Linked DNA regions of Arabidopsis thaliana. The protein of the gene in region 1 interacts with the protein of each later gene in a pairwise test. Each region holds a gene or a part of one and is shown in the gene's direction. Other genes may lie near its edges.

The links. Proteins that work in one complex are often made in the same cells at the same time.
Region 2: the proteins of DDL (region 1) and HB23 interact in a two-hybrid assay, tested with the Arabidopsis thaliana proteins (one large-scale study listed by BioGRID).
Region 3: the proteins of DDL (region 1) and AT1G30860 interact in a two-hybrid assay, tested with the Arabidopsis thaliana proteins (one large-scale study listed by BioGRID).

The regions. Positions count from the first base shown.
Region 1 is NC_003074.8:7,173,065-7,181,552, reverse strand, and holds DDL (SMAD/FHA domain-containing protein), read left to right. Parts: upstream 1-3,532; 5' UTR 3,533-3,681; intron 3,682-3,918; 5' UTR 3,919-3,952; coding exon 3,953-4,327; intron 4,328-4,787; coding exon 4,788-4,819; intron 4,820-4,898; coding exon 4,899-4,965; intron 4,966-5,076; coding exon 5,077-5,134; intron 5,135-5,486; coding exon 5,487-5,579; intron 5,580-6,101; coding exon 6,102-6,216; intron 6,217-6,330; coding exon 6,331-6,378; intron 6,379-6,469; coding exon 6,470-6,515; intron 6,516-6,603; coding exon 6,604-6,674; intron 6,675-6,818; coding exon 6,819-6,858; 3' UTR 6,859-7,117; downstream 7,118-8,488. Other genes in the region: AT3G20557 (uncharacterized protein), read right to left, coding at 822-932, 1,020-1,082, 1,195-1,413; AT3G20555 (uncharacterized protein), read left to right, coding at 2,939-3,079, 3,162-3,353; POLGAMMA1 (polymerase gamma 1), read right to left, coding at 8,196-8,357, 8,439-8,488. UniProt on the Arabidopsis thaliana protein: Involved in the microRNA (miRNA) and short interfering RNA (siRNA) biogenesis. May facilitate DCL1 to access or recognize primary miRNAs. Binds RNA non-specifically.
Region 2 is NC_003076.8:15,908,304-15,914,535, forward strand, and holds HB23 (homeobox protein 23), read left to right. Parts: upstream 1-3,046; 5' UTR 3,047-3,239; coding exon 3,240-4,244; 3' UTR 4,245-4,557; downstream 4,558-6,232. UniProt on the Arabidopsis thaliana protein: Putative transcription factor. Probably involved in establishing polarity during leaf development through the gibberellic acid (GA) signaling pathway.
Region 3 is NC_003070.9:10,984,821-10,992,722, reverse strand, and holds AT1G30860 (RING/U-box superfamily protein), read left to right. Parts: upstream 1-3,129; 5' UTR 3,130-3,476; coding exon 3,477-4,229; intron 4,230-4,328; coding exon 4,329-4,447; intron 4,448-4,534; coding exon 4,535-5,218; intron 5,219-5,302; coding exon 5,303-5,624; intron 5,625-5,712; coding exon 5,713-6,027; 3' UTR 6,028-6,227; downstream 6,228-7,902. Other genes in the region: AT1G30870 (Peroxidase superfamily protein), read right to left, coding at 1-599, 901-1,188; RSH4 (root hair specific 4), read right to left, coding at 6,705-7,607.

The DNA.
Region 1 (8,488 bases):
TTCATTCCTTCAAATGAATCCAAGTAGAAAGATTAACAAGGATTCAAAGATTCCAAAGTTTAAGATATAACAAATAAAGACATTCCCCAATACCACAACAAGATAGATAATGTAGATCAACAAGGATTATATGAGAGGTTGAAGACAAAGTTTAAGTAGCATTTTGACACATATGAGATAACAATAAATCGAAAGATCTTTCATGAATAAATCGATGGACAACATGATGGTCATTGTGGTGACTTTGATGAAGAAATTGAAGCCTTCTCACAGACACGAAAAGATCTACTTGTAGTAAAGCATAGGTTAGAATCTCACGGATTTATAGTCGGTTAAATTTTTCTATAGAAGTATATCCAAACTCTAAAGAGAAAAAGAAAAAAAACTTCCAAGGACAAGAGATCAGACCACGAGGAGTGACACACCCACTTGGCTAAAGGTTGTTGGTAATTCTAATGAAGTGTTCTAAATCCGGATCATTCAATCATTGGATTACAAAGGCGTTCCAAAATACATATGTACTTGATTGTACCAAAACACTGTTACACACATGGAAACATGTTAACACTGTTACACACATGGAAACATGTTAACACTGTTACACACATGGAAACATGTTAACACTGTTACACACATGGAAACATGATACATACATTGATACACCCATTACACATACATACATGCGATACATGATGCAACCCTTGATTTGACTTTCACTACATTTACTAGTCCATTCTATAATTTACAGAAAATAATCAGAGAAAGGAAGATATATAATCACAATAAAGAATATGTATATGATTGAAAGAGTAATCAAAGTTTCAACCAATATAGTTAGATAACATCGACAAAGGGACTAAGCAAAGTCCTCTCTTCTTCAATTCTGCGCAGTATTCTTCAATCTTTATCCCATTTTTATTCAATATTTTCTCCTACAAATCCCGTATGAATATTTTTGTTAGCCGCCAAAATAACTTTCATTTATGAAAAGATATATTAGAAAACATGAAGTTTCTTACCTCAATCTTACCATTGTTCATGGTTTTTTCTTCTATCGTATTGTCTTCCATTCCACTGTAACCCTGAAGAGACAAGCATAGCCATTTAGACTAACCTATATATGTATGTGTAATGTGTGTATCAATGTATGTATCATGAACATAGTAAGATATATTGTCTTATTCTTGGACTAACCTCGGTTCTGTTAGAAGGAGATGAAGCGGTGTCTTCTTCGACACAACCCATAGGAGAAGCAGCGTCTGACATCATTGAAGAATCATCGTAATGGCCTAATCCATCTTCTGTTTCAAAGTACATTGTCCAACTACTCTCTTCTAGACCCTCTTGCATAGTTCTCTGTTGATTAGAGAAATTTGTTCGCCTCACACAGTTGCTTAGTGCTGAGTTTTCCATTGAGACTTTCTTAGATAATTAAGAGGGCTGGTGAAGAGTAGTTTGATATTATAATAGAGAGATGTGAGAAGCTATTAAAATGGTTCTTAGATTTTTATTTGCCTAATTCTCTCAAATGTGACCTCTATATAGTGGGGGAGGCAGAGGTCAGGAATGTTGTAGGTTTGGCACGATTTTGGCCCTTTGTTCTTATTATTGTTTAAGTATTTACTTGTTATAATATTATTTTGTTGGTTTTAATATTCTAAATGGCAGTTGAACAGTTTGATTTCTTTATGTACGTGCAAGAACAAATAAAGATATACAAGAGAAGTGGATCACCTTCTTGTTGTAGTGGAGATTATAAATGTACACATCAACTTGAGATTTGCTAAATTGTAATCTTTTTAGTTAGCACACAATATATAACATAACAACATAAAGTACTTTTGATGGGTGAACCTAAATGTATTTTGGTAGTTTTCCAATAAAAGTGTTAATTTAGATAAAAACATTTGCCTAATGATACATTTGCCTGATGATAATCACAAATTCACAGAAACAGTAGATAAGGATCAAATTTTATATTGTCCATTAATGAAAATAATTTCGATAGAAGCTGAAACAAGATATATTAATTTCATTTTAGCTTATATTCTCCGTTATCTAGCGTTTGATGTAACATTTATAAGTATATATCTGTATTAAGTACAAGAATTTGTTGAGGAAGGAAAAAGTGTTCTTACAAACAAAAATATAAATTTGTCAATGATGGAGACATGTAATTCGTGGGGAACTGCTACTAAGTGTTTAACGATAATATATATGGTTTATAACGTGACAAGGTGATGATAGTCAATTCATCTATTTGAAAATCCTTCAACAAAAAAACAGAAAACGTGATGAAGGCAACATTAGGCTAACACCACAAATAGCTAATTGATATATAAATATAGTCGGTCCACGTTCTCGAACCTTTATAGTCCGGCAGGATAATTATTTTACTATTGTCTAGCTTACAAAACATGTACGACATATTGCACTTTTAGATTGTGAGATACGAATTGTGTGAATTTGTAAAGTTAGTACCGAATCTTTGATGGTTGTTATAATAATTTGCCTCTTTTTCATCAGCAATCTATGACGTAAGAGGCTACGTATGTTCGCTTAAAATTTGACCTAATTTGGACTTTGTCATAGTGAAACCGTATGACAATAACGAAGAAGGTGACGGTGACCGATTCTGATATATGTGACAGTCTAGCCAGTATTTTGCAAAACATAAGATACTAATGAAGTGCATGATGCATGACCGATATTTGAATTAGATATACAAGCCGGCTGGTAGATCATTAGACAACATTTGTTTGTGTGTCTATGATGCGAAAAAAATAAATATTCTCAATCTTTGACAAAAAATATAATAATGACAAAGTACATATCGTTTTGTTCATACGTAAACAAGAATTAGTTTTTAATCGTCTATAATATTGGCGTACACTAGTATATACATGAAACTAAAGATACATCAAATAAACAAGGAGACATGATTTGGGATTCGATGAGCCATCACCCGACAAACCAAAGCATCACCCGAGAAACTCATACTGACCCGTCTCTAAAGCTCGAGTCTATGAATGCTGTCTTCCACATAAGCTTCAAGGCCAACAGTTGCGACTACAAATCGGTAGTAAGGAGAACTACAGATGGGATTTCAGGACATATGTTCCTCGAAGTTGAAAATTTCTCTCCACAAGTTCCTTCATGAGAGGATCAAAGTTGGTGGTAAACCTGGTGCACTCTGTTACAATCAGAACAAGATCACTGTCACTTCTGATGGTTTATGTCGTTTAGCTATCCACCTCAACTATATCTATGATCTTGTATTTGTCTTCTATCCTATCAAAGTTGGTGGTAAAGCTGGTGCACTCGATTTGTTACAGGCTCACCGATTTGTTTGATGATCAATTATAAAATCTTTGTTGCAAACTAGGACGAAGAAACAAAAATCTCGAAGGAAGTACAAGGGTACGACGTTACAAGCGGCTTCTGCCCTAATTATACATATCCTTTCTACCAAACAAGATATGACACGTGTCAACTAATGGAAGTTTTACCATACCGTCTACAATTTGTTTGATATTGAACCCCTCAGTTTCCATTTATTTGCAAAAGAGGCCAAATAAATGATTCTTCTCGTTTTGGCTCTGATTCTTTTTATCTCTGCGATTATTATTATTCACTCTCTCCTCTTCTCTCCGCCGAAGTAGTCACAGTTCCGGCCACCAGGTAAAATTTTTCTTTCTCGTTATGCAGCGATTTTTTCTCTTAACGATTCTTGCAACCCTAGACTATGCCCGGAACTTCTGAATTTAGTATTTGAAATCTGTAGCTTACGTTTTTTGGTTTAGGGCTTTTGCTCCATTTCTAGTTTCTATGCATTTGGGAATTAGGGTTTACTGTGTTATCTGGAGCTCACATGCCTTTTCCTTCTGACCCTGGTTTCAATTTGTGATCTTTCCAAAGGCAAAGAAGAGAGAAAACGACCCTGACTCCAATAATGGCTCCTAGTTCTAGGTCTCCTTCACCACGTACGAAGAGACTGAGAAGAGCTCGAGGAGAGAAGGAAATTGGGAGAAGTAGAGAGAGAGAAGATGATGGTAGAGAAAGGGAGAAGAGAAACAGTAGGGAAAGGGATAGAGATATAGGAAGAGATAGGGATAGGGAGAGAAAAGGAGAAGGAGAAAGAGATAGGGAAGTTGGGGATAAGAGAAGACGATCAGGGAGAGAGGATACTGAAAAAAGGAGAAGGACAAGAACAGATGATGAGAGATACTCTAGAGGAAGACATGAGAGGTCTACTTCACCGTCAGATAGGAGTCACAGGAGTAGTAGGCGTTCACCTGAAAGAGCTATTGCCTCAAGGCATGATGAGGTATTTCTGCTTCTTTCTTTAGCTTGGATATGTTCTTAATCTCAGAAGTGTTTTTTTTTTTGTTTTGGGTTTTACTTGTGCATATTCGTATTCTGCTTGAAAAGATAAATGTGATTGAAATTGTTTAGCTCTGATGTATGCTAGAAAAGGTTAGCCTCTGCTGCTTGTTTCGTCACATAATAAATAATTGGAATCCTGTAATCTAGCTTATCCATCTCGTGAGTCTATAACTAGAACCTGCAGCCAGCCATTTTTTGCTTACTCTGTTGCTAAAGGACTTAAGAAAGATAGTCTCTTTGTTTCCCTTCAGCATGTCCAGTAACATCACTTCTCATGTTTCTCTCTTTTTAGTAAAAGCTCATTATATAGATTATGGTTGCTTTCTGCAAATTATCATTTTCTGCGAGCCACAGATTTTTGTTACTTCTTCAGTCATTTTTATCGCCTTTTGTCTTTTCAGGGGTCTAATGCAAGAGGGGGCAGCGAGGAGCCGTGAGTTTTCTTCTTATTAGATTAGCCGTTACAATTTTTCAGTCTTTCTTTTAACCATGTTATGGGTTTTCGTTAACAGAAATGTCGAGGAAGATTCAGTCGCGAGAATGAGAGCAGTTGAAGAGGCTCTGGCAGCGAAGAAAAAGGTATTATATCAAGCCCTATTGATTTTCAATTTCCAATGTCATTTTGAGCTCGCTTAGCTCATCCATGCATAAATGCTAACGCTTCAAATCTAATTTTGATATATCTTGTAGGAAGAACCATCATTTGAGCTATCAGGGAAACTTGCTGAAGAAACTAACAGATACAGAGGTGAAACTTCTGATCCGTCCATTTCATTTAAGAATATCACCTGTTACCATTACCTTGTGCTAGAAACTTTTGCCATAGTGTTTTCATTGCATGTTTGAACTGCGAAACATCTGCCTTTGTTGTCAGGTCATATTTACTTAATTTTGTATGCGTACGTGTCTGTCACTGGGTAAAAGCTTTCTTTGGTCAATATCTAATGAGACTAGAAGCTTCAATATATAAGCATCTGCTATCAGCAGATATCTTTTGACTGCCAATCCGCTTTTGCTCCTAGGAATGGAGACGGTGGTTTCTCGCATTAAATTTCACCATAGGCATGCTTAGCTTCCTTGACTGAGTGAATCCTTTGCAGGTATCACACTCCTCTTCAATGAGCCCCCAGAGGCTAGAAAACCCAGCGAACGATGGAGACTGTATGTTTTTAAGGATGGTGAACCACTGAATGGTGAGTCTTTGACGTCTTCCACATCTCTATCCATCTGTCTAAGTAGTGGTTCATTTGTCTTCTATGTATTTCACTTAACTATCTTACTGTGGTGAACGTCAATTTTTTGTCCACAAAATATGCAGTAAAGCATGTAGTGGCAATGAAAGAGATACTCAAGAAATTTTGATGCACTCTAGCCATGTAAACTTGAAAACTGTGGTCATTGATGGTTTAGTGTCCAGATAACAGCGTGATTACCGATAGTAGCCAAACTATAGCTTGATACTTCTTAGAACTTGTCAATTTTCTTAGAATGAATCTTATTATGAATGTTAATGACTCTTAGAGGAAAAATAGCTCCTTTGATCTGATATGTTTGTGACTGTGGCTTCCCGTGTCATTCTTACTTTGAACCCCTGAACATTGTATATAAGATTTTACATTTTGTTTCCCATTTCTGTTTGCTTAATAATTCTGAATGCCCTGAATCAGTTTTCTTGATGTATGTTTCTGTGCATGTGAAATGTGTTGGACTAACAGAGCCACTCTGCCTTCACCGCCAAAGCTGCTACCTCTTTGGACGTGAAAGAAGGATTGCCGACATTCCTACGGATCACCCATCTTGCAGCAAGCAGCATGCTGTCATTCAGTACCGGTAGGGTTCTGACATGTATTTCTCCTTTTAAGTAGTAATATCTATGACAATAGATTTAATGAGAATAAGGTTTTTAGTTTAATATTTATGTCACTGTGAATGTGCTTTTCTCAGGGAAATGGAAAAGGAGAAACCAGATGGTATGATGGGGAAGCAAGTGAAGTAAAACCTATCTGCTCTTTCATTTTGCTTAAAATTTGTACCTCTTCTGGCTTTAAGCTAAATTTTAATTTCCCTTAATGTCACTTTCCAGGCCTTACATAATGGATCTTGGTAGTACCAACAAAACTTATATCAATGTAAGTGCTCAATTACATTCCTTCTTATGTGCTTCTTTATCATGGTTAATTCAAACGTTTGTGATTAGAACTTCTTTTACTTTTTCAGGAAAGTCCCATTGAGCCACAAAGATATTATGAGCTTTTTGAGAAAGACACCATAAAGTTTGGCAACAGCAGGTATTCTAATGAAGACACATTCTAGTTCTGGTTTCCCATTATGAATCATACCCCGTGCCTATTCTCTGTGATTAATCTTTGCTTGCTGTGCAGTTAACATCTACTTTCTTCTGTTCTTGACATGTTTTGTTCTTTTGGTTGCAGCCGAGAGTACGTACTGTTGCACGAGAATTCTGCCGAGTGAATGAAATCAGAGTCAAGCAGAAACGAGTAAATCACAAGATTAGATAGTTGCGTTTCTCAGGGTTTTTAGAGATGTTTGAGCTGCTTCATGTATGCTTTCTACCGTGCTGGTGATAATCTCAGACATCATTTAGAAATCTTTTGCTTGCTTGTTATATAATAAATGATGATGAACGATTGGTAAGAGAAAAAGGTTAACTTTTGGTATAACTGTATAAGATCAATCTCTACTTTAAAATTGTCGCTCCCTGAGGGTTTCGACCTAACTTAACGTAGAAACATGGAGACGACTGAGATTTCAACTAGAGTTACCAAAACGGACATCACTTTCTTAGTAAGATAAAGCTAACTCTGCGATTGAAAACTACTTATTTGTCAAGCCTTTAGTGAGGGATTCAAGGATCAAGTCACGGATCTCCTCCCTGCTTGCTCAGTCAAGAGTGGTTCTGCCGTCAGCATCCTTAACCGTGTAGTCAGCGTTTGAGAAGCTCTTCAATTTTAGGCTTGTCTCCCTCCGAGACTGCTAGCATTAAAAGGATGTCGACATGGTGCATCTTATCTTAGGTACCTTCCACCGCAAGTATCCCCATGTAGTTAAAATACTGCAAATAACACAGAAACGACAATAATAAATCTAACATTTCCTCTGTTTTCTTCATTCACAAACTCAGACACAACCACGTACGGAAGCTTTTATAAGCGCCCTTGTAACAAAACAAAGATTGACATATTTGACTCTAGAAGCTTGAAGTGAACACGAACCTGTTCGACGTCGTCTCTGTCAAAATCATCACGTGACTGGCTGCCATAGATTCCAGCATTCTCAGCATCGACGCCGTTCTTTCCGAACTTAAACGAGGCAGTGGCTCTGACCTATTGGAGGGTCCGAGTCGGATAAGTCTGATCCCGAGATTCACAACCCTAGTTCCAAGAAACCGAGAGGAGAGGCTAAGTGGGGTAGAAGAAGTGTTGTTGAGTTTGGTGGTAGAGGAGAATAAACTCGCAGAAGAGCTATGCATGGTGAAATGGAAGCCATGATACTGCCTCGAAGCTTCTTGCGAGATTGTAATTATTATCATCTACTCGTTCACTTTTCTTTGATAAGATTACTCTGTTTTCTCATTAAAAACACCGACTCTTCAAGCCTACTAATTTACACAGCAATGTATCTTTTAACATAAAGAAGATGACAACAATTAGCTTTCATTAGCATAAACAAAATGACCCTTTCTCACATATGAACAGATTTTCTCAGAGCCAATGAGACAAAAAAAAAAAAAACCTCAAGCACTGCCTCATTGTTAGCTTTCACTAGCAAGATCTTTTTCTATTTTCCTCTTATTTGCCAGCATACCAGTTCTGAGCACACTTAGCATCAACAGATAAGTCGACTGAGAGAATATTCTTGCCGTTGAAGGGTTCAGACATGCAGTTCACAACTATGTCTTTAGCGTTCTCCGCTGACTCACTTGGTCCTTCCAAGATTACTTCATCATGAACCTGTAGGTAGCCCAAAAGAAATCATTTAGATAAACAATCATCTAACCTGTAGTTATGTAAAGAATCTGTGAGAAGTATTACTTGTAGAAGCAATTTCCAACCAAGCTCTTTTAGCCGTTGATTATTTGATA
Region 2 (6,232 bases), on another chromosome or scaffold:
TAGTTAGGTATGTGAGCCTAACAAAGTTCTCAATCCACAAAGGAACTTCCTCGATCCCTGTTTGGTTTAGACAGAGACATGAGATGTTGCTTGAGATATCTGGAAAACTCTTCAACTTTGAACATCCACTAAGATCAATTCAGATATTTGAAGTTAGCACCAGTGGGAAGAGACTCTACATTTTTCCTTTTCATCAATTCTAAAAGTCTTCACCTTTTACCAAAACTTCTGAACACTAAAAGGACAGAGGAGACTCTCAAAGTTTTATTGAGCTCTCATATCCTTAAACCGGAAAGAACCACATAATCTTCACTACTAATAGAATCAGGAGATAAAGGCCAAGAGGAGAGTGAAGGAGTCATCACAAGACAAACAATAAATAGCAGTCTGAATATAATTTAATTGTGAAGCTTGCAAACATTATTAGTGTCCAAAAAACAGCACTTGTTTTCATGTTTACTGAAATAGTAATGCTTATGTTGTTCCGTTTAAAGAACATGTGATGATCGCACAGAGAAGAGAGAATCACTGAAATAGTGTTGAAAAAAGAGAATGTTACATACCTATGATGAGAAAAGACAAAGACAAAGCGCACTGTGGAGGAATCAGAACTTAGCCTGCATTGTAAACCGCATGATCAAGACTAGTTACCGGTACACAGTGTTCCTGACTTCTTCAACGTTGTCCTTATCTGTCAACATTTCACATTTATGTTCATGTACTTGTTAAAAGACCCTAATAAGCTACCTACTTGATGTTGCTACTATAGAGTGAAGCAATTTGGTGTATACCTCCTGCATCAATCATGATACAATAGTGACATTGGAAACCTCTATGGAAAGAGAAAGTGCATGTGCTGCTAAATACTATCCAACTAACCATAAACAAGTTGGAGATAATTCAGCTTATTATAACATATAACTGGTGTTTCACTACGGAACACATGTGCTTAGTTCTACTTATACAACTAACACACACAGAATGCTTATGCAGCCCACATAGAGCTACTTCTTACCTCTCTCTCTTTCTCACTGTAAAATAAAAATGAAGGAATTAAAAATATAGAATAAACATAGTTTTAAACTAATTTGGAAATACATTTGTCTAACATTAAAATAATTTATACCAATAAGTTTATACTTAGTTACTTGCTAAATCAAATAAAGTGATGATTAGTGATTACATATGCCTATGATTACAAACAAGTGTAACTATGATTTATGCTTCGAACCCAATCATTTTGAGACGTTAGAAAGGGGTAATTTGGGGTCTTCAAACTTCCTTCTTGAATTTGTCTATTTTATACTCAAGTCCTCGGATGGGCTGTTCTGAAATCACTATAGTTGCATGTGTGCAATAACCCGGCCCATAAAAATTAATGCCAATTGTATTATTCCATTAGCCCATTAAGTCATCAATCATTACCACTAAATCTGCTATAAGATTAGCTTCTCTACCTCTAAAGTCTAACCAAAAAGAAAGTCGAAGATATCTTCATCGTTTGCATGTAATCTCCTTTACATGACCATGAAGTCCTTCTACCCATTATGTTTTGGGATTGCATTAATTAAGAACAGAATAGCACTCTCCCCAAAAGAATTCTTTGGAGCCGCAATTATTTAAGCAAAACATTGTCCGTGGATGATTCTTTACGAACGGGCCGTGATAGTTGTGCCAAGGAACATCTCTGTGGGAGAATTCAAAGCTAGTAGGATTCAAGCTCAAATGGACTTATTAAGCTAGGTAGAAATAATAGAAAGATTGAAATGAAATCGCTTATAAAAACTTTATTATGATGCAATTAATAGAAAAGAAAAAAGACTTTAACTTGTCAACAAGAATACAATGATTCAAAATTGATATTTTTATAAGGGGTTTGTGCAAAAAAAAATCATAATTAAGTCGCTAATTTTTTCAACTTTACCATTAATCTCTACAAAATACATAATAATCCTATAAAATACAAAATAAGACGCAATATAGCCCTATACATATATTGTAAATGTTTCTATGATCACATACATTTGCTTTTTAAAATTGTGAAAGTAGAGTTGGACTCCTCGTCTCGAAGATTTTAATTTGATATATTATTTATCAAAATTTTAAAAATTTAACTATAACAAAAAAATGAAGCTATATTGCATATTATTTTTGATTTCATACAATTATTTTGCATTTTTTTAGAGATAGATGATAAATTTGTAAAAATTGACGTCTTTGAAAGTTATTTTTGCACAAAATTCCTTTTATAAAGAAAAAGAAAAAAATTTGTTTTGAGACAACTCTTAAGATTACCTTACAATACATTGATATTTAAAAACAAATTTATATGAATCTCTAGTAGCTATCACCCTAGTTACATTGGCTAATGGATTTCTCATAATAGTTTTGGATCCTCTAATAATCTCTAGTTTTGGATCCTCTAATAATCTCTAGTATATGAAGGACGGAATTTCGATCATTGCTCTCAACTTGTTCATCAAAATCTAGCAAAATTGACATTTTCCGTCGAATATCACCCATATAAACTTAACCATAGTGGAAACCTAAAAATTCACCCCCAACTTTTACAAGAAAGTGATCTTTCTCATTCCTTCATTTGAAAGGTTTGACCTTAACGTTTTTGTTGTAGTCGAAGGAGTATCTTTCACAACATTGCTGATCTTAGAACAAATGTAACCCATTATTACCATAAGACTTATTTTTTCTTTTTCAGTTTTGACTTGTGCCTTTATGTTTAAGACACTAGTAGCCACATTTATTACGCTTTTTCACCGCAAAATTTAACACGCACTCTCTTTGTCGATCCCACAAACTCCATCTACCTAACCATGGTTAAAAATCATCAAACCTTGGTTCCCTTGATTAAAATATCCCTAAATCCAAGTCTCTTTATTATTTCATTTAAAATCATAAATTTAGTTTAATACAATTGTCCTTTTTCAAAATATTATTTCTTTATTTGCTTCAGCAACAGTCGTCATAGTCATCATATCATTTTCTTCTTTTCCTCCTCTAAACGAATATTACCAATAAAAAATCAAGTGGAAAATATGTAATATTAAAAAATCTCCAACAGCTTAAGAAGTTAGAACCTTTTTACTTATCTTTATTTCTTCTTCTTCTTCATTTTTCTATTCACATTCTCTGAAACTCATACCATATTTTCAAAGCTCTTAACCCAAAAACCCTAAGTCTTTTTTTTCTTCAAATTATTGGTTATATTAATGTTTTAAGCTATGATGGATATGACTCCTACAATAACAACAACAACAACACCAACTCCTAAATCACCCGAACCCGAATCCGAAACTCCGACCCGGATCCAACCGGCGAAACCCATTTCCTTTAGCAACGGCATCATCAAACGCCACCACCACCACCACCATCCTCTCCTCTTTACTTACAAAGAATGTCTCAAAAACCACGCGGCGGCTTTAGGTGGTCACGCTCTCGACGGTTGCGGCGAATTCATGCCGTCTCCGTCGTCAATCTCCTCCGATCCAACTTCTCTCAAATGTGCTGCTTGTGGCTGCCACCGTAATTTCCACCGCCGTGATCCAGATAACAACAACGACTCTTCCCAAATCCCTCCTCCTCCTTCCACCGCCGTAGAGTATCAACCTCACCACCGTCATCATCCACCACCACCACCACCTCCTCCACCACCACGTAGTCCTAACTCAGCTTCTCCTCCACCAATCTCTTCCTCTTACATGCTCTTATCTCTCTCCGGTACTAATAACAACAACAACAACTTAGCTTCTTTCTCCGATCTTAACTTCTCCGCCGGAAACAACCACCACCACCACCACCAACATACTCTTCACGGATCTCGTAAAAGATTCCGAACAAAATTCAGCCAGTTTCAGAAAGAGAAGATGCATGAATTCGCCGAACGTGTTGGTTGGAAGATGCAAAAACGTGACGAAGACGATGTTCGTGATTTTTGCCGGCAGATCGGAGTTGATAAAAGTGTTCTCAAAGTTTGGATGCATAACAACAAAAACACCTTTAACCGCCGTGATATCGCCGGAAACGAGATCCGGCAAATCGATAACGGCGGAGGAAACCACACTCCGATTCTCGCCGGCGAGATTAATAACCATAACAATGGACACCACGGTGTCGGAGGAGGAGGAGAGCTTCACCAGAGTGTTAGTAGCGGCGGTGGTGGCGGAGGATTTGATAGTGATAGCGGCGGAGCTAACGGTGGTAACGTTAACGGATCATCGTCGTCGTGAAGTTAAAGATGAGAGTGTCAGGTTAATAAGAAGCTTAGAGTAAGCTTATTCGTATTATCATCGTTAATAACTTTCTATTAAATATTAATTAAGATCTTTAGCTTTGTTTGTTTTTGCATTATTATTAGTTTTGATTTAATGTTCTTTACCACGTCGGTGTCTCGCTCGATGAGGAATAATACCATAACAATGTTCGAATTATATCATTTGTTGTAAACATTTCTATTAATGAACCCTGAAATGTGACTAAGTACTCCAATAAATGGTACACTTTTGATGTGGTAATCTTGTTTCGGATGAAGAAACAAAAAGATTAATAAACGAGTGAAACATGATTAGTTACTATAAATATTCATTTGGTTTCTTATCTTTTAAAGTACTCTTCTTAATTTTATTTGCAACCAAACTAGATGTAGTAGGTGTACTTTTTTTCTTTCTTAGATCCTCTTAATTTTATTTTATTTTTTTATTCTATATCAAATGATTAGCCATCATTAGTATATTAGTAGCATTGTTGTTAACACCCAGTGTTTTCACGTCCGACCCGGACCGTCCGGTCCGACCGGTTGAACCGTGACCCGAACACTTTTCCGGTTTGGGTTTAGTATTAAAATCCAACAAGTTCAAAACCGAAAAAACCCACAAAAACTCATCATTAACCCGTGACCCGATGAACCAGTTGAACTGGCCGGATGTGGGTTTTAAAAAATTCTCTTGATTTTGGAATAAAATATGAGATTTTAGACTTTATTCAATCAATTTTTAGATATTTTTCAGTTCTTAAACCCATTTGATGTTTAAGATTTTGATGAAGACTTCACAATGCCGCCTTAAAAAATGAATCGAATGGTGAGTGAGATATCCGATATTAGTTGTGTGAATTCACGATGTTTTATTAGTTTATTTCCATCATTGCTGATTTTTTACTATATTTGTTACGGTATTAGACATTTAGTTGGATTTAAAAAATTTCATCACTTTATTATTATTGTTTGATTATATATTTATATTTTTTTTTGATGTAAATGATTATTTTTGTTTTAAAATTTATAAGAACTCTAAAAACTCTAAAATCTCTATTAATATTAAATTTATTAAATAAATTTTAATCAATTGACCCGTAGTCTAATCTAATTAACCCGATGATCCAATGATCCAAAAGGTAGTCCGATTCACTGGGTTGGTTTTAAAAATATTGTTAACACCATTTCCTCTTTAATCTATGTCATTGTCATGGATTCATTCCGATAACCCATTTTTGGTATATATGCTTAGTTTTGATTATTCTCATTTGAGAAGTACAAACCAGCATATACCTTTTTATACTTAGAGATTGAATTAGTACAATTCATACTAAAGTTTGATATAACTATTATTATATCACATCGTAGCATCCATAAAATCTATACAACTTCTAAATAAGGGTTTAAGGCGTGGCACTAACACAAATGATTGAGTTGATGAATAATTTAACAATAACTTTCCATTTGGGGAAACGTAGGGATGAGTACTGATATGTCGGCTCTCACAATAAAGAATGAGATTAGGATATTATGGGTATCTCCCATACGGGTTTGTTACAATTATTTAAGCAATTCATTACTACTATTTCTTTATTTAATTTATATAACGCATTTAGTCAAGTCACAAATATCTTTCCGTATTATCTTGGTGGGGACAAAACTTTTGCACAAGCTGAGGTTATGGCCCTAACTGCCATATACCATGTGCACCACTTGTTAATTAATAGTATTATTTATTTTTGTATCAATTTAGCCATCAATTCACATTATCGCAAATAAAACAAAATTAGCCATAGTATAATTTCAACTTTTTTTCTTTCTAATTTATAAGAAAAATACATATATTTAGAACCGAAAATAAAAAATATGAGACTAAACAAGAAATTAAATAGAGAATTATATGTAACCTCAAAGTTAGAATGTATTATGTATAATATAATGAGTCTATCGGTAATTCCAGTATTT
Region 3 (7,902 bases), on another chromosome or scaffold:
GTCCTTGGGTCCTTAACAAGCTCCTGATCAGTCGACAAAACTCCCATATGCTTCTGAAGATTAATGTAGTACTGATTATCGAACACTGCTGGAGTTACAGGGTCGAGATCGACGGTCTCAGAGGCCCAGCGACACCTGCGTTGCAAGTAATCAGCGTATTTTGCGTCAATCGAAGGATCTGAACCACTGGTTGCGTTGTAGTTGTAAAGCCTCGACTGGATGGTGCCACAGGACGCTTTTCCGATGGTGTGGGCCCCGGAAAGGACAACTAGGTCGAGGACGTTGAGACCGTATGACTGAAACGTTTCGAGAAGGGCGGTAACATCACGACGGCCTGAAGGGACTTTCTCTACGTCTCTAGCGTAAGAGTGTTTGGAGTCACGACGACCGTAGACGTTGGGCCAGTAAGGACCACCAAGTTGGACGGTGGCGGCACGGCTGGCTGATGTTAGGATGTCGGCGCAGGATACTTTGCCGGGGCATGATTTCTCCATCTCGGACTTGATATCGTCAATTAGCTCGAAGCCTCTTAGTGTTTTGCTAGCCGGAGATCTTCTCTCTGTCCCTTCGTAGTCTAGAAGAACAGACGCATCACATCCCTGAAAGTTGTGTTAATTCATGTACAAAAATGTCAAGTTGTTATCTTTTAAAATGCATAACTATATTAGATATGCGCAAAACACTCAGATGCGTTTATACACAGAATAAAGTGCGCAAGTCCGTCTTCAATATTAAGAAACTTATATCTATATACTATCAATGTTCCAAGTATGGTCTAGATAGACGGAAGAACAATTCTAATCTCTAATAGAGTAATAGTGAAACCCATTTTTAGAACAATGTAAATCATATATGAATCAAAACATTGGCTATATATAATTGAACGATTAATTGCAATACCGTGACGCCACAATCGTGGAAGATAAGGCGGAGGAGGGCGGGACCAAGGGAAGAGTCACTCTTAGTCCATTCCCTCACTTTCGTAACAACGATTTTCTCAAAATCTGGACAAATCCTATCATAATAATTCAACGATAATAGGTTGTCCAAAGGGAACAATGACTTTGTATCATCATCGTCATCGCCTCCGTATCCTCCCGCTCCAGGTAAGTCTTTTCGGCCAGCCGATACCGGCCAAGCCACGAGAACTCCGAGTATGACAACGACTGAGACCACGGCCAACTTCATTATTTTGCTTTCTTGATATCTCTCTCAATTTGATTGGCTTTGATGAATTTGTTTGATGAGAGGTGTGTTGTGTAGTAATTTATATATACAATTGGGTTTGGAAACTAATGTGATGCTTTTACGTGGGAGGCACAACTTTAAGATTTGAATATTCGAGTGACTTGCCTGCATGTCGTATATAATGTTTATGATATATAATTTTTTTTTGATCAAATGATATATATTAATAGTATAATTTTAAAAAACCTTTTTACAAGAGAAAAAATGATATAATGATCTTTACATTACTGAAATCAGGGTTTTGACTTATTTGGATTAGATTAATTGTAAAATTTATTTGTCAACAACTTCCATTGATTTAATTTTGTTTGTTTTTTGGTCGGTTATGTGAGACTATTATTATTTTATTTTGTTGTCTACAATTAACATACGTATATATACACTGGATGATGACATCAAAGTATGTTTTCGAGTAATCCGTAAAGCAAAATGTGATATATCGAAATTAACAAATTTTTTGCACAATCATTAATAATGAATTTGCTCAGATCCTCTAACAAAAATAGCGATATTACCTCTGCACATTTTTTAGCACGGAAAAATAGGTCCATTAGAGACATGTTGACAAAAAAAAAAAAACAATTCACCATAGGCTACGTTTATTGAAAATTGATGCATCTCAACAAGTTTTCAAACGTTCAAATTTTGAGTTTTTTTGAACTATACAACAAATTCTCACTAGTCAAAACCTTAAACTTTTTCATATATTTTTCTAGTTTTTATAATTTATATTTCTTACAAATAATTGTAGAAAACTCAATTTTTGGGTCATGAAAATCGCCAACAGTGTGAAAAGAGGCCAACCAAAAGCAGTTGATTCTCTAGAACTCATTGTTAATAACTGAAATATATGTATGTAAACTAATATTTGCTAGAATTATAAAGGAGAAAAGAGTACAATCGAAGTCGGAACCAACGCCGGCCGGTCGGAAAAATCACAGAAGAAAAATCGTATCAATCGCTTTTTCAATCGTCCATCTTCTTTATCTACCGGATAATACTTCCTAATACTTAAACTTTAAGAAAAAAGATTGTCAGCTAGCTATACGAAGTGTGGAAGAATACATTATCACATATGCCGCAACTAATATAAACGATACCCAGTTACCTGAAATATATATACGAAATATATGTCGTATGTGCCAATATCATAGACACTAAGTCTCGATTAATCGGTCGTTTTACTCTATCGTTGACTAATCGTTAACTCATCGGGATCCGAAAATGATCGGTTGTGAACCTTATTATTGGTTTCAATTATCGTTATTTTGTATAGAGACTATTTTTTCTTAAATCGTTTTATAAGAGTCACAAATCACAACTCGTCCTAAGTTCTCTCTCTATTCGACTAACCCAAGCACGACATTGACCACTATGCCTGGGCCTATTGACCACACTACAATAAAATCGCACACTACATGAAACTTGGGTTGAACATCTAATTTTCTCTAATTAAATTATTTTTACTTTGCTTAAAAGTTTTTGTTCCTGTCAGTTATACAATTTAAAATTGTTTGTTATCTTTAGTTCTTCAATTTGATTTATGATGTGGCATAAAATCCAGAAAGTGCATGGTTCCCACTCGACAACGGCTAAATTCCTCAACGGCTCCTTTTTGACTCTAGCATATTTAGGAGCCTTAATTATTAAATAATTTAATCACCCTTTAATTAGTATAACAATCCAATGTTAATTTTTTCATGCATTACACAATTAAATGCTTTTACCAGTATAATGACATGTGTTATACAATATCTTTCAAATTCAATTTTGTCCAAAATTATAAGTAGCTTTTTTATTTTTCTATAACAATTTATCACTTTTGGCCACATAAGGCTTTTCTTTCTCTGTATTCTTACACCTCATTCTTTATTGCCTTGTTTTACAGACACGTTCCCCAGTTTAAGGGACAAAACAGAGCCATTTTAGGACTCTTAACATTTATAAGTCCTCTTACTAAATAGATAAGCACAAATACTGTTTGGTTCTGTTTTGCTTCTTCATCATCATCGTATCTCCACCGTTTGTTTGTTGTTGTTCTGTTTCTTTAACAGGAAAAAAAAACAGAGAGAAAAATCTGTCTCTTCACTAACACAAATCCATTTTCTCTTCTTCTTGTAGAGAGACAGAGAAAACAGAGTTGTCCTCTAACTTCTTTCGATCGATTCAAAAACTCTAATGATTATTTGATTTTATGTTCGTTTGTTCGATTCTTAGATCGTAAAAAAATGGTGTCTTCTCCTCAGAGATTCGGTTTAATCTTAAGAGATCGTAACCAAAACGCTGGCGTTTTTCAAAAGAATCTGAAATCTCCGGTGAAAGAGGTTTTGAAATCTCATGTCTCCGATGAGAATTTAGTTGATTCTTGGATCGAAACTCACAATAACAAGAACAATCGTGTTCTTGAATCTCCGTTAGAATCGAAGAGAAACGACAATCTTGTGGCTTCTTCTTTGGTTCAGATATGGGAGGCGAGGCTAAACCGATCCAACGGTGGAAACTCGCCGAGTAGCAGTCAATCTACGGCGAGTAGTAGTAGTCGGAGCGATTCAGGAGTTAGTGTTCAAGATTCCGGTCTTTCAGAATCTTCATCAATCGATGGAGATTCTGAAATTGCTGATCGAACGGTGGAGATTGAATCTAGGTCACATGGTTTGGTTTCTGATTCCGGAGAAAGTAAATGGGGACGAGTCGCTGACCTAATTCGGAGGCTTAGCAACGAAGACAAGAAACGAACCGCTGGAGATAATGGCAGCGGCGGTGGCGGTGGACTCGAGATTATCAGAACGCCGAGGCCTTATTGCACTTCGTCGTCATCGGAGAAAAGTAATTTTCCGGTGGTTAGTTTCTCTCCGAAGATACGAGGACGACAAGCGTTTACCGATTTTCTTATGCAAATGGAACGTGATCGCCACCGTGAATTGGATTCGCTTTTTGAACGCAACGCAGTTTCTAGGTTTACTCAACGTGGTCGTCTCCAGGTAAATTATATTTTCACTATTTTGATAAAAATAACTAACATATTTGTGACTTTATTCATAATCCACTAAATGGTTTTTCTAATTACATTATTTAACCAGTCAATGCTAAGGTTAAGGAACCTCAATCGCTGTCTTGTGATTCAAGATAGAAACCGGTCTAACGCAAAAACAACCGGATTAAACCGAATTGAATCAGGCTCTGCTGTTCTGCATTTAAGGTTTTTTCAGATTCTCTGTTTTATGTTTTGAGTTTAGTTCTTAGGGTTTACTTTCTTCAGATTTTCAATCTTTGATTGGCAACGCAGGGAGAAATTTCATGCGAACGTAGTAAACTCTGCGGCTGCAACAGATAAGAGGAAGAATCATCAACGATCCACTGAGATGAACAACAAATCCGTAGAAGAAACAGAAGGAACTACTACCACAAGCACGAGGTTAAAGGATGGTGGTGTTACTCTCGAAGCTTTTTTCGCAGAGCGGTTGAGACCCCGTAACCGCAAGATAGAGGAAGCAACGTTATGTAAGGAAGAAGAATCTGTAAGTGGAACAGTTGATTCACAAAAGAATTGCCTTCAGCTGCAAGAAACAAGAGAAGTAGAAGAAACTTGCAACGATGGCAAGTCTGAAAAGAAAGAAGAAGAAAATACTAGCCCGAGTGAATATTTATCTCGAGAATCGCGGTTGAGACAGAATCAAGACGAGAACAATGTGGGAAAGTATATGCAAGAAACTCGAGAAACAGAAGGTCTAGTTCATGAGAGTAATGAGATGGACCAGTGCCTTGATCAACAAGAAACATCCTATTTGAATAGATGGGGAGAACAAGAAGAGTATGCAGATGAGCAGTCTTATTATGGAGAATATAACGACGACTGGCTTAGTGAAATAGCTAGGCCTCGGAGTTACTGGGAGGAATTGAGGAAGTCACGGTACCTGGAAGTAATGAACACTAGGTCTGAGAAAGATGACATATGCAGACTCCTTGAGCGGTAAGTAACCATCAAAATTGACAAGCTCATGTTTCTTAATGGTTAATAACTGACTAAGAAAATGAATTTCCCTGCTTAATACAGAAGAACGGTGACAGATTTCCTCGACAGCGGGTTGCGAGAGAAGATCGATAATCTCATGATGTCCCGTGTACAGACACACTCGGATAAGCACTCCAAAAAATGGGAATTGCAACAAGAAGAAGAGGAGGAAGTAAATTTTGAAATTGATGAAGAAATCAAAGAAGAGCCATTAAGAGGAGGTGAAGAGCAAGATGATAGAGATGACTTGAGCCAATCGTCGTCTTCACATATATCTGCATCGTCTCCTGCAGGATCATGGAGTTCTCAAGACACTGATGTTACTTCCACTCCTGCCTTGGTTGTTCAGAATCCTCAGTCACCTGTGAGTGTTTATCGATTTCTTGTTATACTATAGAAACTCGCAACCGCACTAGTGGTAAACTCATTGAGCCGCATATAAACGTTTTCAGGAAATGGAGCTGATAAGCGGTATGAGATCACAGATCCAACAGCTTCAGCAAGAAATGTCAGTACTACGAGATTCTGTCAAAACGTGTTTAGATGCTAACGCGAGCTTGCAACACAAGGCTCACCAAGAAAACCCAATGAAACGAAAATGCTGCGTCTGCGACGAAACACAGGTCGAGGCGGTTTTGTACAGGTGTGGACATATGTGCATGTGCCTAAAATGTGCCAACGAACTACATTGGAGTGGAGGGAAATGTCCGATTTGCAGAGCTCAGATTGTTGACGTTGTTCGTGTCATCTACGATACAAGAAACTGAAATCAACCGTTTTGAAAACGCTGAAGAATTCACTAACCCATTAAACCCTCTTTTCCTTATCGAGTTTGCGTTATTTGGCGTTTTGGGTCTGAATATCGTATTATGCTCTCTTTATACAGTTTTTAGGTTATGTTACCAACACTTTGTCCAGTTTTATGAAGTTTTTGATCTCCTAAACCAACCAAAAAAATTAACGGAAAATAGCCTAAAAATAAACCTTAAAACCTGAAAAGGCAAGTCACAAACAGAGCTTGGAAACATACATGAATTTTTGCAATTACTCTAGTAACCATCATTTCATTGATTTTGATACCTCATTGAGTACACTCTAAAAATTGTAGATTAAAGTCTGAAAACAGATCTTCGATGCAAAAGTGAAGCACATAGATTATAAAATACTCTCATAATCATCTACTCTTGGTCAAATTTATTTCATAAAGATTCAACAAAGCCAAACAAACCCTCAAAAATTGGAGATAGAGCTTCTAAGCAAACACTAAAAATTATACTTTTTGAGTTGTTTTAGAATCATAAACCCTTTATCGATTTTGATTTCTCAAAGACTCAACACTCTCTTTCTCTCCATAATATTTACACATCATCCGTAGATACATTACACTCATTTCATACATACATATTATAAATAAAACTCTGTGTTCTGTTTTTGTTTTCCTTATTCAAGCGTTTTGTGCGGTCAAGAAGGTGTTGAAGTCATCTCTAGCCTTACGCAAACGTGGAGTGATACAAGTTCGAGGCGAAGTAGGGCACGAAACTGAAGCCGATGAAGACGAAGTCGAGAACCTAACACGACGTTGCGGTGAAGACTCAGCTGATCTCCGGTGATCACGAGTACTCCTCGTCTTTAAAACGCTTCTCAGAGCCAAAGTCTCTGTTTCTCTATCGAATAAGAAACCAGAGGTCACCGGTTCTTGCACATCTCTTCCTCCATTTCCACCGCGGCTGTTGCACTTCGTCATCTCAACCGGAAAATCGAAAAACAACCGACCGTTATCTTGAATAAGAGCTGTCGTCGATGCCCAAGAACCGCATTCGAATTTCTCTAGCGAGGCGCGTACAGAAACAGTTGATCCCGTGAAGGAAGAAGCTCTGATCATCTTCTTCTCCATAGAATTTTGGCGTTTCGAAGAAGATCTAATCAGCTTGTTCTTTCCGAAGCCAGGTAGAGACAAGCAGAAGGCGTTACATTTGAAATCTTCTTCCTTGTAGAGGATTTTCTCTGCGAAACGCGATTTGCTCATAAATATGACTGATTCTTGGTGGCTAAGCTTCTTCCGGACTCTCATCGGCTCCGGAAGCATAGGAAGCGGAACGGTGGAGTCTCTAGGAGGAGGCAACGCCGGCGGCAACACAATTCTGAAGCTATCATCTCTTGCCGACGAACGGGAGAAAAGAGGAGTGATTGATTTCTCGTTCTGCAGAATTGCCTTCTTAACCAAGAAATTTATATTAGGGTTAGGGTTAGTATTTTCTCCTGGAAAAACTCTGAAACCTTGCCACTCATTATCGTTAGATTTCCGGGCTAAACCATCGTCAAACGCAAGCATTGCCGGAGGAGGCATAACTAGATTTGTCAACGAAAAAAAAAAGATCAGATTTTGAAAATGGGTTTATAATTTTACGGGTAAAAAATATGGAGAGGATAGAGATATAAGTAGTAGGAATATAAAAGAAAATGGTAAGCACGTTCATGGCAAAAGTAGTGACTTACATGTCGGTTCTATCTTTGTCCTAAGATTTTGACATGTGGTTACTATCATGATTAATGTGTGTCTATAGATCGAAAATATATTCAAATAAAATGAGAATTCAAGGAAAAAATATAAGGTTTGATTTTTCAATTTTAGGATGTTAGAT